Mus musculus: one gene and its partners. The main gene of each other region encodes a partner of the protein of the gene in region 3 in a complex. Links are inferred from orthologs where the notes say so. Each region holds a gene or a part of one and is shown on either strand. Other genes may lie near its edges. The genes, in order: Taf10, Taf4 and Tbp.

Region 1 (2,982 bases), on a different chromosome or scaffold from region 3:
GGTGCTTCTGTGGGAACTGGTGACACGAGAGGTGCCCTTTGCTGACCTCTCTAATATGGAGATTGGGATGAAGGTGAGCACAGAACTACAGATACTTGTTTAGGGGTGGTGGTACTGACAAGCACTGTGGTAAGCGCTTCCAGCAGTTTATACAGATAAATAGTAATCTTACCATTCAAGGATCAAAGGCTTTTACCCATATGATGAACTCAAATTCTGAAGCTCACCTTATTCCTTGTAATTTGCAGGTGGCACTGGAAGGCCTTCGGCCTACCATCCCACCAGGTATTTCCCCCCATGTGTGTAAGCTCATGAAGATTTGCATGAATGAAGACCCTGCAAAGCGACCCAAGTTTGACATGATTGTGCCTATCTTGGAGAAGATGCAGGACAAGTAGGACCTTCAGGTCCTTGCCCAAACTCCAGAAGTGTCAAAACATGGCTGGGGGAGTACACTTCTCCAAAGTTAAAGACCTCTGGTTGCCTCCCCTGTCTCTAATCATGGTACTACCCCAGTTATGGGACTTGTTCCCTGCTCCCATCCCTACCACTGTAGCCCCAAAAGGGGCTGGGCTCAGAGCTTTGTCACTTGCCACATGATGTCTCCCAACATGGGAGGGATCAGCCCCGCCTGTCACAATAAAGTTTATTATGAAAACAGGCTCGTGTGGGGACAGAGGGAAAGACAAATACATCTGGGTTGCGTGGCTCAGGTGAAGTAGTGCGGCTTCTTCACATTGATGCCATACTCGCTGAGGGCAGGGGTCAAGTCCTCCATGGTTAGGGTGTACTTGCGATCCTGGGGGAAAGAGGGAAGACCACCAGCTGAGCACAAGTGCAGACTCCAATCCTTTGTGGGTGACCCTGAGCAGGCCCAATACCTCCCCTAGGATTCTGCTTCCCCAAAAGGCTTTCAGGATAAGTTAGGCCTGTACTGCAGTGGAAGGTGAGCCTCTCACACCTTGCTCTTGCTCCGGGAGCTGCCAGAGGCTGTGCCCTTCATTTTGCAGTGCTGTAGGGCATCATTGGCAATATCTGAGATGAATTTCTGGGCAGCTAGTGAGATGAGCCGAATTCTAGAGAGGAAGAGGGTGGTAGTAATGAGAATATTTAGCAAACTCCACCTAGCACTCAACAGTCTAACCTGCTCCGAGTTTACTCACATGCGTGGGTCTGAAGCTTCAAAGCCAGCGCGGTTCAGGTAGTAACCAGTCACTGCATCTGGGATCTGAAAAATCAAATTAAACAGCCATCAGTGTTAGATCTGCCTATTGATGCGCTGGCTGGGACGGAGGACTAAAGAGATAGCTTCATGCCAGGCAGTGGTGGCACACGCCTTTAATCCCAGCACCTGGGAGGCAGAGGCAGGCGGATTTCTGAGTTCAAAGCCAGCCTGGTCTACAAAGTGAGTTCCAGGACAGCCAGGGCTACACAGAGAAACCCTGTCGCGAAAAAACAAACAACAAAAGAGATGGCTTCATAGCAGAGAAAGCTTGAAAGAACGAAGGTGTGGTTCAAAGGCATTGACAGCGAGCCAGGTGGCCTTGTTCAGGTGGGAAGCGCACCGTAGGTGTGTAATCCTCCAACTGCATCAAGAAGTCCACTAGAGGTGTGCTGGACACTACGGGCTTCACTTCTCCGTTGGCCGCGCTCGGTAGGGCGTAAACCCCGTTAGACATTGCCCCCTCCGGGGGAGCCGCGCCGCCCGCTGCCACCGAAGCTGAAGGAGAATCAACAGCACAGGTGAGAGGCGCAGGGTTCCCCTGCCCCGGCACCTAGTCCGAGATGCCCTCCTCCCTCACCCGGCCCGGCCCTCCCTCACCTGGCCCGCGCCGCTCTGCCGGCTCCCCTGCCCGTGCCGCCACGGGGCCCGTGCCCGCAGTGGCGACTCCAGCCACGGGGCCCCCTGCTGTCCCCGCGGGGCTGGCCTTGCTCTCCGCGGCCGTGCTAGTGGGCAGCGCAGCGGGAGCCGACACCAGGGGTGCCGGACCCGCGACCGAGGCGGCACAGGCGGTCGCCGCCTCGGGGTCCGCGCCGGAGCCGCTGCAGCTCATGGGGCCGGTGGGAAAGGCGGCGAACAGAGCCGCTTCCGCTTCCGCTCGCCCAGGCGCACGCTGCGTGACGTTACAGTTCCCGCCCACCACTCTAAGCTGCCGCGGGCGACCTTAGGTTGGCTGTTAGTGGATGAGGTGTAGACTTCAAGGCGGAGGCGAGCTGTGTGAGATGTGGCTGCCACCCTGCGGTTCCACCCCGGCCCGGGTGGGGCCGCAGAGCATCCAGGACTGAATACTTTATCTGGGTTCGTTCAACGACCTGGCTTGGGGACTCATCTGCCAGACACTTCATTACCAGTCTCCTGACGGTCTTCATGCATTCTTTGTAGTTCCCTTTCATGGTCTTTTAAGGGTTGCAGTGGATTTGATGTGTGTCCCTCCCACCCACAACGGGCTTAGGAGAGTACCTCTGTAAATGTAGAGATGGGTGTTTTACCCTGAAGAAATAGCATGCCAAAGTCTTGTGTGAAACACATTTACAATACAACAGACTTTTTTTTTAAACAGTCATTTATTTAATTTCTATTTGGGCTGGGACCTAGGAATACAAAGTTAAGAATCAGATTCTAGTTCACTAGCACCGACTGTCTGGAAAAGGAAGGCAAACAAACTGACAATTTCAATACTGTATGATTGTTTCCCAGCTACATGTAGGTGCAGTGCAAAGAAGAAAGGGAAACTAACATTCATTGCTTAATTCCAAGTGTGAGACATTAGCAATGTTTATTTCCCGATTTTGAAGGCAAGTTTCAATGTCTCTGACTTTTACCCAGTAATCTTTGAAGGGTTTGCACAAATACATAGACTGCTTGGTTTGGAAGATGAGGGGCTTCGGAAGCCTTTCCTCTCCCCAAGTGCTTCCTGCAGTTTAGAAGAAAAAAGAACATGGGCTCAAAGATAATGCAGTATTTTGTGCATGTGTGTGTGT
Region 2 (3,653 bases), on a different chromosome or scaffold from region 3:
GGACCTCAGCCTCCTCATGTTCTGCTGTACCTCTGCTCCTGATCCTGGCCCAGTGCAGTCCACTTTCCTCTTTTTCCTGGGCCCGATCGCTGCCAGTGCAGTGAGGTTGGCATCTCGTTGTCGCATCTGTGCCAGCTCCTGCTGCTGCATCTTCATGTTGGGAAGGAAACAGAACTATCATTGCTTTGAGAGTTCTTACTGCAAATGTAGCAATCAACAGCTACCAAGAACTTTCTCAAGTTTCCTAAATTACAACTTCTTTTTTTAAATAAGATTTTTTTAAAAATTTTATTTATATGAGTACACTGTAGCTGTCTTCAGATACACCAGAAGAGGGCACCAGATCCCATTACAGATGGTTGTGAGCCACCATGTTGTTGCTAGGAATTGAACCAGGATCTCTAGAAGAGCAGTCAGTGCTCTTAACCACTGAGTCATCTCTCCAGCCCAAGTTACAATTTCTTTAAAGTTGAGGCTCTTAAACTAAGGACATGTCTGTGACCCAAAATAATTACAAAACTTTTAAAACAGAAGCTTACCTTAAAGTGCTCAAAAGATTAGAAGGGGTTTAGAAGCCTAACCTCACAGAAGTAAGTGACAGGTCCTCTCCAACCAAATGCACACAGCACAGAGAGAGAGAGCCTGGGCTGCCTGGCCGCCCAAGAGCATGAATAAGCAATGGATGTGAACCTTCAGTGACTCCAGGTTTCTTAACTACTCTCTCTTTGTGGGCACCGAGCATGAACATGAGCTGCAAGGGCCGTGAGGAGTCCAAACAGAGAAACTCACCTCTTTTGCTTTCTGCTTCAACCTTAATTGCTCTGGGTCTTCTTGTCTGGATCGAGACTGTTTTTGAAAGAAGGAGAGAGGGAAGAGTCATGCCTTCCTTCCATGCGCATCACTGACCCACAGCGCCATGTCCAATCTACAGCAGTACCTAGCCAGGAGACAGTGCCTGCTAATTCTATAAAGGTTTCTATCCAAACAACAACAACAAAAAAGTCTTCACTGCCACCCAGATGCAGTAAGAGCCTTAGGCATATGGCTACCAGTTTTGTCATATGCCTCTGACTCAGTGTAGACTGAGAAAGAAAGCCTGGACAGAGCTTCCAGACATACTGGGCTCAGCGGCTGAGGGTGGCATTCAACTGTCACTTTCCTACTGCACAAAAATCTTGACATTGGGATTAACATCTCTAGATGACTCTGATCATACACAAAGTTCCCACACTCAGCTCTGAGTGCTTTGACTGAAGGGCAATGTGAACCACAGGGAAGGGAAGAGGTCAGAATCTTAAAGAAGCCCACACCACCAAGCATAGTGTTACACACCTTTAATCCCAACACTCAGAAGGCAGAGGCAGGAAGATCTCTGTAAGTTCAAGGCCAGCCTGGTCTACATAGCGAGTTCCAGGACAGCCAAAGCTACATAATAAGTAAGACCTTATTTCAAAAATAAAACTTTTTTAAATTAATTAACTAACAACATGAGAGAGCCACATCTCTTTTTTTGTTGCTGTTGTTGGGTTTTTTTGTTTGTTTGTTTTTGGAGACAGGGTTTCTCTGTATAGCCCTGGCTGTCCTGGAACTCACCCTGCCTCTGCCTCCCAAGTGCTGGGATTAAAGGCGTGCGCCACCACTGCCGGACTGCCACATCTCTTATATCAAATCTCAAACTGGAGTGCATCCTCCGGCAGCTGAAGTACCCCACCTATCCAGCTCCACTCACAATACCCTCCCTCCAGAGTATGAGCACAACAAGCCAGTGTGCCTGGTAAGAAGCTAGGAGGGGCAGACTGCAAGCTGAGCCTGAGCTGGAGACAGTAACTTGCCTTCGCTGCCCGCATTAAGATCTCCCTCTCCTGCTCATCTTTCCTCTGCTTTTCAATCTGATCCAGTTGTTCAAAGAATTTGAGCTGAGCCCGGACATCACTCGCTTGCTCGTATCTGTCGTCGTCCTACCAAAAAAAAAAAAAAAAAAAAAAAGTCAGTAAAAACACTGTCTACCACAAATTTGGAACTTCAACAAACTATGAGCGTGCCTCGCACAGCTGGACAGTGTGTACACAGCTCCATGGTGGTAGCAGCTGCTCACACCTCACCACTCCAGTCATGGCCTCACAAGGACAGCAAGTCTCATCCAGTTACCAGGAAATCCATAAAAGGTTTCCATTTGATACACTTTGGCATTTTTAAGAGATATTTAAGTCCTTCTGTGTAGAAATGTTTGTTTGTTCTTCTCTGCGTAGCCCTGGCTGTCCTGGAACTCGATTTATAGATGGCAAGGCTGTGCTTGAACTCAAAGAGATCCATTTCCCTCTGCCTCCCAAGTACTAGGAATAAAGGTATACACTACCAATTCCAACTTTAGAAGTGTTTTAAAGCTGACAATTCACAGTGAGCTGCTCTAAAGAATCAGACACAGACTCCTTCATCTGTGCAATTGCTCAAGACATATTCTGGTCGAAAACCCTCTCTCTCTCTCTCTCTCTCTCTCTCTCTCTCACACACACACACACACACACACACACACACACACACACACACACACACACACACCCCACATGGCAAAGAGCCTGTAGTTGCAGCTCATGGCTCAAAATGGGCCAGGCTACAGGAACTGGGCACTTTAAAAGGAGTAAGAATACAAGACTCCCTCCATAGTCTCTTAAGCTCACAGCCCCATCTTCCAAAGCAGGCTAACTGCAGAGCACATCCCCAGCCCAGATGCAAGACCTCCTACAGGTAGTGTGTGTGGCCAAGAGTGAGCACAGGAACAACCAGGACAACAAGGCTTCCAGAGAGCCCAGGTCAGGTGAGAACACGAACATTCTCCCCGGGAAAACAGCCTCATTACCTTATAAGAGAAGTTTTTCTGCTGAGCCGTTTCAGATATTTTTTCTACAAGATTCTGCAGCCTTTGCTGTGTGGCATGAGACACGTAACTCACTACATCTGGATGCAGTTCCGTGATGCCGTGCTTTTTACCTGCAGGCCATGCAGAAAAAAAGCACTTTATGGTACTTACCCAGTTTTTCTTTATCACGGCACTGGCTTCTCTCACCCACTAGTTACTGCTCTGCACAATCAAAGGCAATCTAAGCAGGAAGCAGATGGCCACTGCCCACCTTCTACTACCTGCCAACCAACAGTGGAGCCTCTATGGGGTGAGCCCAAGACAAGGCAGTGGAGCTACTGCAGAAGGGTTGGACTGAGTCTTGCCAGAGTCATGGAGCACATCAGACAGCGATCTGGACACACAGCATCCCAGTGACATCATCTGGTTCAAACGTACCTATCTCCAGTATCCTCCTCTGCAAAGGCGCGGGGAGGAGGAAGGTGTCGTCTTTACAGGATCGGGTCAACGTCCCCACCAACTCAGAGTTTGTGGCCAATATCCTTGCACTTTCTTCAGACAGGTTCACTCCAGCCATTGACGCAACATCATTGATGTCATCATCATCCCTGCAAAAGGAGAGGAACATTCTTGTTGCATGAAGGAATCATAACTCACTAAGGTGGTTCTAATTCAGTGGCAGCTTGCAGGGGACAGGGAATAGCAGAGGGACACTGAGATGGACAGACACACACATGAGGTTCCTACACTGGCCTTGTCCTTTTGTCTGACAGTGCTTTGCTGCCTTGTTTAAAAA
Region 3 (3,653 bases):
GTAGACCAGGTTGTCCTGGAACACACAGAGGTCTGCCTGCCCCTGCTTCTTCAGTGCTGGGATTAAAGGCATGTGCTTCCACCACCTGGCCTAGAACTTTTAATAAAAACTGAAACATAGCAAACTCAACTTTTTCTGTAGTTTTCTAGGTCTTTCAAAGTAGACAGACCTGAAATGAACAATGCCATCAAATGCAATTAATAGACCATCAACTGTTACACAAGAACTCCAGACAACCAGCTCTAGTTCATTGTTGCTCCCTGCTCTCTTTTTACTCTCTACAAAGAATACTTTTGAAATCTTGTGACTCAAAGTCTTGCTGAACAGCAAGGCAACACGGTGGGAGGCTTAGGCAGGAGTATTCTCAAGAATTCAAAGCAGCTAGCTTATATTCCATAGACAGCACCACCCTAGCCAGCTTTATCACGTGAGACAGTCTCAAAAAAACCCCCAAAAATTTAATTTAAAAATTAAATTTTACTGGACTAGTTTTCTCTAGTACATAATCAGAAAGTGAGGTAGATCAAATGTTTTCAATTTTCCAATATCTATTTCCCCCCAACCTAAGAAATACTAAGAAAAATTCTTGTTTTACTTAAAAATGGGTTTGACTCAGCATGCCCATACGTGAAGTGAATTTTCAGGTACACTTTGGTGCGCCTGTCACAAATTTAGCCATGCAAATGATAAATGTGTTATTTTAGAAAGTTAAATATTGGGAAGGGGGTAACATTTGGAATGTAGATAATAAAATAATAAATTTAAAAAAAAGTTAAATATTTACCTGAATTCTTTATAAGGCTGCTGAACTGACACCTAATAAGGAATGTTTTTAGATAATGGAAACAGTAATGTGGTTGATTGCATGCTCTGTGGATATGGAAAAAAGTGTATGTCCTAAGCTGACTCTCACAAATGATTTTAATCAGAAGTATGAGCCTGAATGCCTGTGGACGTCAAACAGGCATAAAGAAATAGTTTACAACAGTACAAACAAAAGGAGTGCTTATAGGGCTTATCTCTTTAAACTCAAAAGTCACCTTAAAATTGTGTACAGCCAAGGTAGAATCAGGTTATGCCACTTAGCTTAAAAATGAGGTGGCATGGCTTACAAATGACGATATATATGCAGAAAGCTAAGTGTAAATAGGAAACAACGCTGAAAGTAGGAAGGTGGAGTTACTAAACACAAAACCCAAATAGTGTTGTCTGCAAAGAACTCTTTAATCAGCCTTTAAGCTTTCTTAAAGTAAAGCTAGATTCTTGTTACTAAATGGTATCTGGAAAGTTTGGGCTGTTTGAGGAAGAAAAAAGCCTGAATCTCCCACCTTTTTTACATGTGGGAAATACTTTACTTAGGCAGAAAAATTCATCAAGATAAGAACTGCTATCCCTACTCTGAGAGTGACATAGATCTCCAAAGATATAAATACAGCCCTCACAGCCAAAACTGAAGAAAATCCTGGACCCCTAAGACCTGTGCTGATACAGTCAAAGCTGTGATCCAACTGGCCAGTGACTCAGCCAATTAGCTACAAGGAAATGTCCACAGTATCACTGAAGCTCAGTTTGCATTTCTGTGGCCCGAATACACAAACACAAGCAACTCCATTTCTAAGGGAAAGTCTCTGCTGAGAGTACTGACCCACTCTGTAGCTTCAATTCCTACAAGAACAGATAAAGTCACAGTATAACAGAATTACCACTGGGCCACTTCCTTAAGTAAATCCAGTGTCTGGAAGCAAACAGTACAATAACACTGAGCGCCTCCTTTGGTGCAGAGACAAAGGGCAGGGGACAGAGGACAAGGAACACAACAGAAAACGCATGAATACATACGCGCATGCACTCACTGTTACGCACAGGGGCTGGGGTGGTGTGAGAGGTACTCACTGAAGCTGCGGTACAATTCCAGAGCTCTCAGAAGCTGGTGTGGCAGGAGTGATAGGGGTCATAGGAGTCATTGGTGAAGGGTACAAGGGGGTGGTGCCTGGCAACGGTGCAGTGGTCAGAGTTTGAGAATGGAAGAGTTGTGGGGTCTGGCCTGAGGCACCCTGTGTGGGTTGCTGAGATGTTGATTGCTGTACTGAGGCTGCTGCAGTTGCTACTGCCTGCTGTTGTTGCTGCTGCTGTTGCTGTTGCTGCTGCTGTCTTTGTTGCTCTTCCAAAATAGAGAGACTGTTGGTGTTCTGAATAGGCTGTGGAGTAAGTCCTGTGCCGTAAGGCATCATTGGACTAAAGATGGGAATTCCAGGAGTCATGGCGCCCTGTGGAAAGCAAAGAGAGCAATGATTAAGATACTGATGGTGAGTAATTTAGGTTTTTCCCTAGTGAAACCCAAGTAAAGTAAAAAGACTAATGTTTTCTGAATATAATAGGTCATTAAATACTAGGGAAGAATTTGTATCCTGAGATGCACAACTATCTTCTGTAGTACTGACCATAGAAGATGAACACTTAGGATTTGAAAATGTTATTTATGATATGCAAGGAAGATGTTTAGCCTCTCATGTGTATCTAGACCATAAAGAAAAAAGCCTATGTCCCAATTTAAAGTACTGCCCAGTACCCAGGCATGGTGGCACGTCTTTAATCCTAGCTCTGGAGGCAGAGGCAAGTGGATCTCTGTGAGTTTGAAGCTAGCCTGATTTACAACGCAAGTTTGAGGGATGTTGTTACATAGAGAAACCCTGTCTCAACCCCACCCCCACCCACAAAGTACTATTTAATATATGATGATTATCCACTGACTAAGCACGTGTCAGTTTTGGACGACGGATCACATGGATGATGGATGACAGACTCATGGATGCCTCTATCATACTATTTAATAAAAAGTAATTTATTCTACTAAAAACAAAAATCAACAAAGTCTGTAAAATACTGTCAACTGCCTTTTCTATAATGCTTCTATGTCTTACATATATTTAATTATAATTAAACATTTTATTTATAAAAATAAAGTAGAACTAATTATTTATGTGGAGGCAGAAGAACACTGGAGATGGTAAAATGTATATGGAATTGGTAACAATCTAGGTCTAATTCTATTGCAAACACATACACACATACGTGCACATGTTTAGCATCAAAACCAATGTTTAATTTTGAAAGCAGATTTGGTAGTAATCAGGATAGGAAAGTGACTGCAACAGGAGCAATAAATTTATTTATTGGAGTAAATAAGATAAATGCTCTACAGCTCATAGAGAGTCTTCTAATTAATTAGGTTCCAACTAAACTTCCCAAACAAAAGAACATCACAGCTATCTAACTCAGAAATCTTCACAAAGTAAAACAAGCTTAAAAACCTAAAAATCCACGTTCACTACTGCATGGTAAATGTCACTGTCTTTTGCTTTCTCTTAAAGGGAATATGAGCCCTCTCTGCCCCTCCCTCTTGCTCTATTACCTGTGGGGAGGCCAAGCCCTGAGCATAAGGTGGAAGGCTGTTGTTCTGGTCCATGATTCTCCCTTTCTTCAGTACTCAGATCTTCCCTAGAGCATCCTCTGAATATCTCCTTAGAAACGTCTTCAATGTTCTGGGTTATCTTCACACACCATGAAATAGTGATGCTGCTTGGAAAAATATGTTTTAAGTTTAATAGATGGACATAGGTTTCATGTTCACACAAAATAAACACAGAACTATT

Evidence for each region.
Region 1: Tbp (region 3) and Taf10 share a complex: the UniProt entries of both Homo sapiens proteins name them as parts of the TFIID basal transcription factor complex. The link is inferred for Mus musculus from reciprocal best matches to the Homo sapiens genes TBP and TAF10.
Region 2: Tbp (region 3) and Taf4 share a complex: the UniProt entries of both Homo sapiens proteins name them as parts of the TFIID basal transcription factor complex. The link is inferred for Mus musculus from reciprocal best matches to the Homo sapiens genes TBP and TAF4.

What each region holds. Positions count from the first base shown.
Region 1 is NC_000073.6:105,742,265-105,745,246, forward strand, and holds Taf10 (transcription initiation factor TFIID subunit 10), read right to left. Parts: upstream 2,075-2,982; 5' UTR 2,055-2,074; coding exon 1,823-2,054; intron 1,721-1,822; coding exon 1,566-1,720; intron 1,229-1,565; coding exon 1,164-1,228; intron 1,077-1,163; coding exon 962-1,076; intron 800-961; coding exon 710-799; 3' UTR 630-709; downstream 1-629. Other genes in the region: Ilk (integrin-linked protein kinase), read left to right, coding at 1-73, 249-398. UniProt on the Homo sapiens protein: The TFIID basal transcription factor complex plays a major role in the initiation of RNA polymerase II (Pol II)-dependent transcription.
Region 2 is NC_000068.7:179,921,122-179,924,774, forward strand, and holds part of Taf4 (transcription initiation factor TFIID subunit 4), read right to left. Parts: intron 3,466-3,653; coding exon 3,296-3,465; intron 2,989-3,295; coding exon 2,858-2,988; intron 1,959-2,857; coding exon 1,833-1,958; intron 847-1,832; coding exon 790-846; intron 151-789; coding exon 31-150; intron 1-30. UniProt on the Homo sapiens protein: The TFIID basal transcription factor complex plays a major role in the initiation of RNA polymerase II (Pol II)-dependent transcription.
Region 3 is NC_000083.6:15,502,888-15,506,540, reverse strand, and holds part of Tbp (TATA-box-binding protein), read right to left. Parts: intron 3,577-3,653; 5' UTR 3,467-3,576; coding exon 3,413-3,466; intron 2,268-3,412; coding exon 1,894-2,267; intron 1-1,893. UniProt on the Homo sapiens protein: The TFIID basal transcription factor complex plays a major role in the initiation of RNA polymerase II (Pol II)-dependent transcription.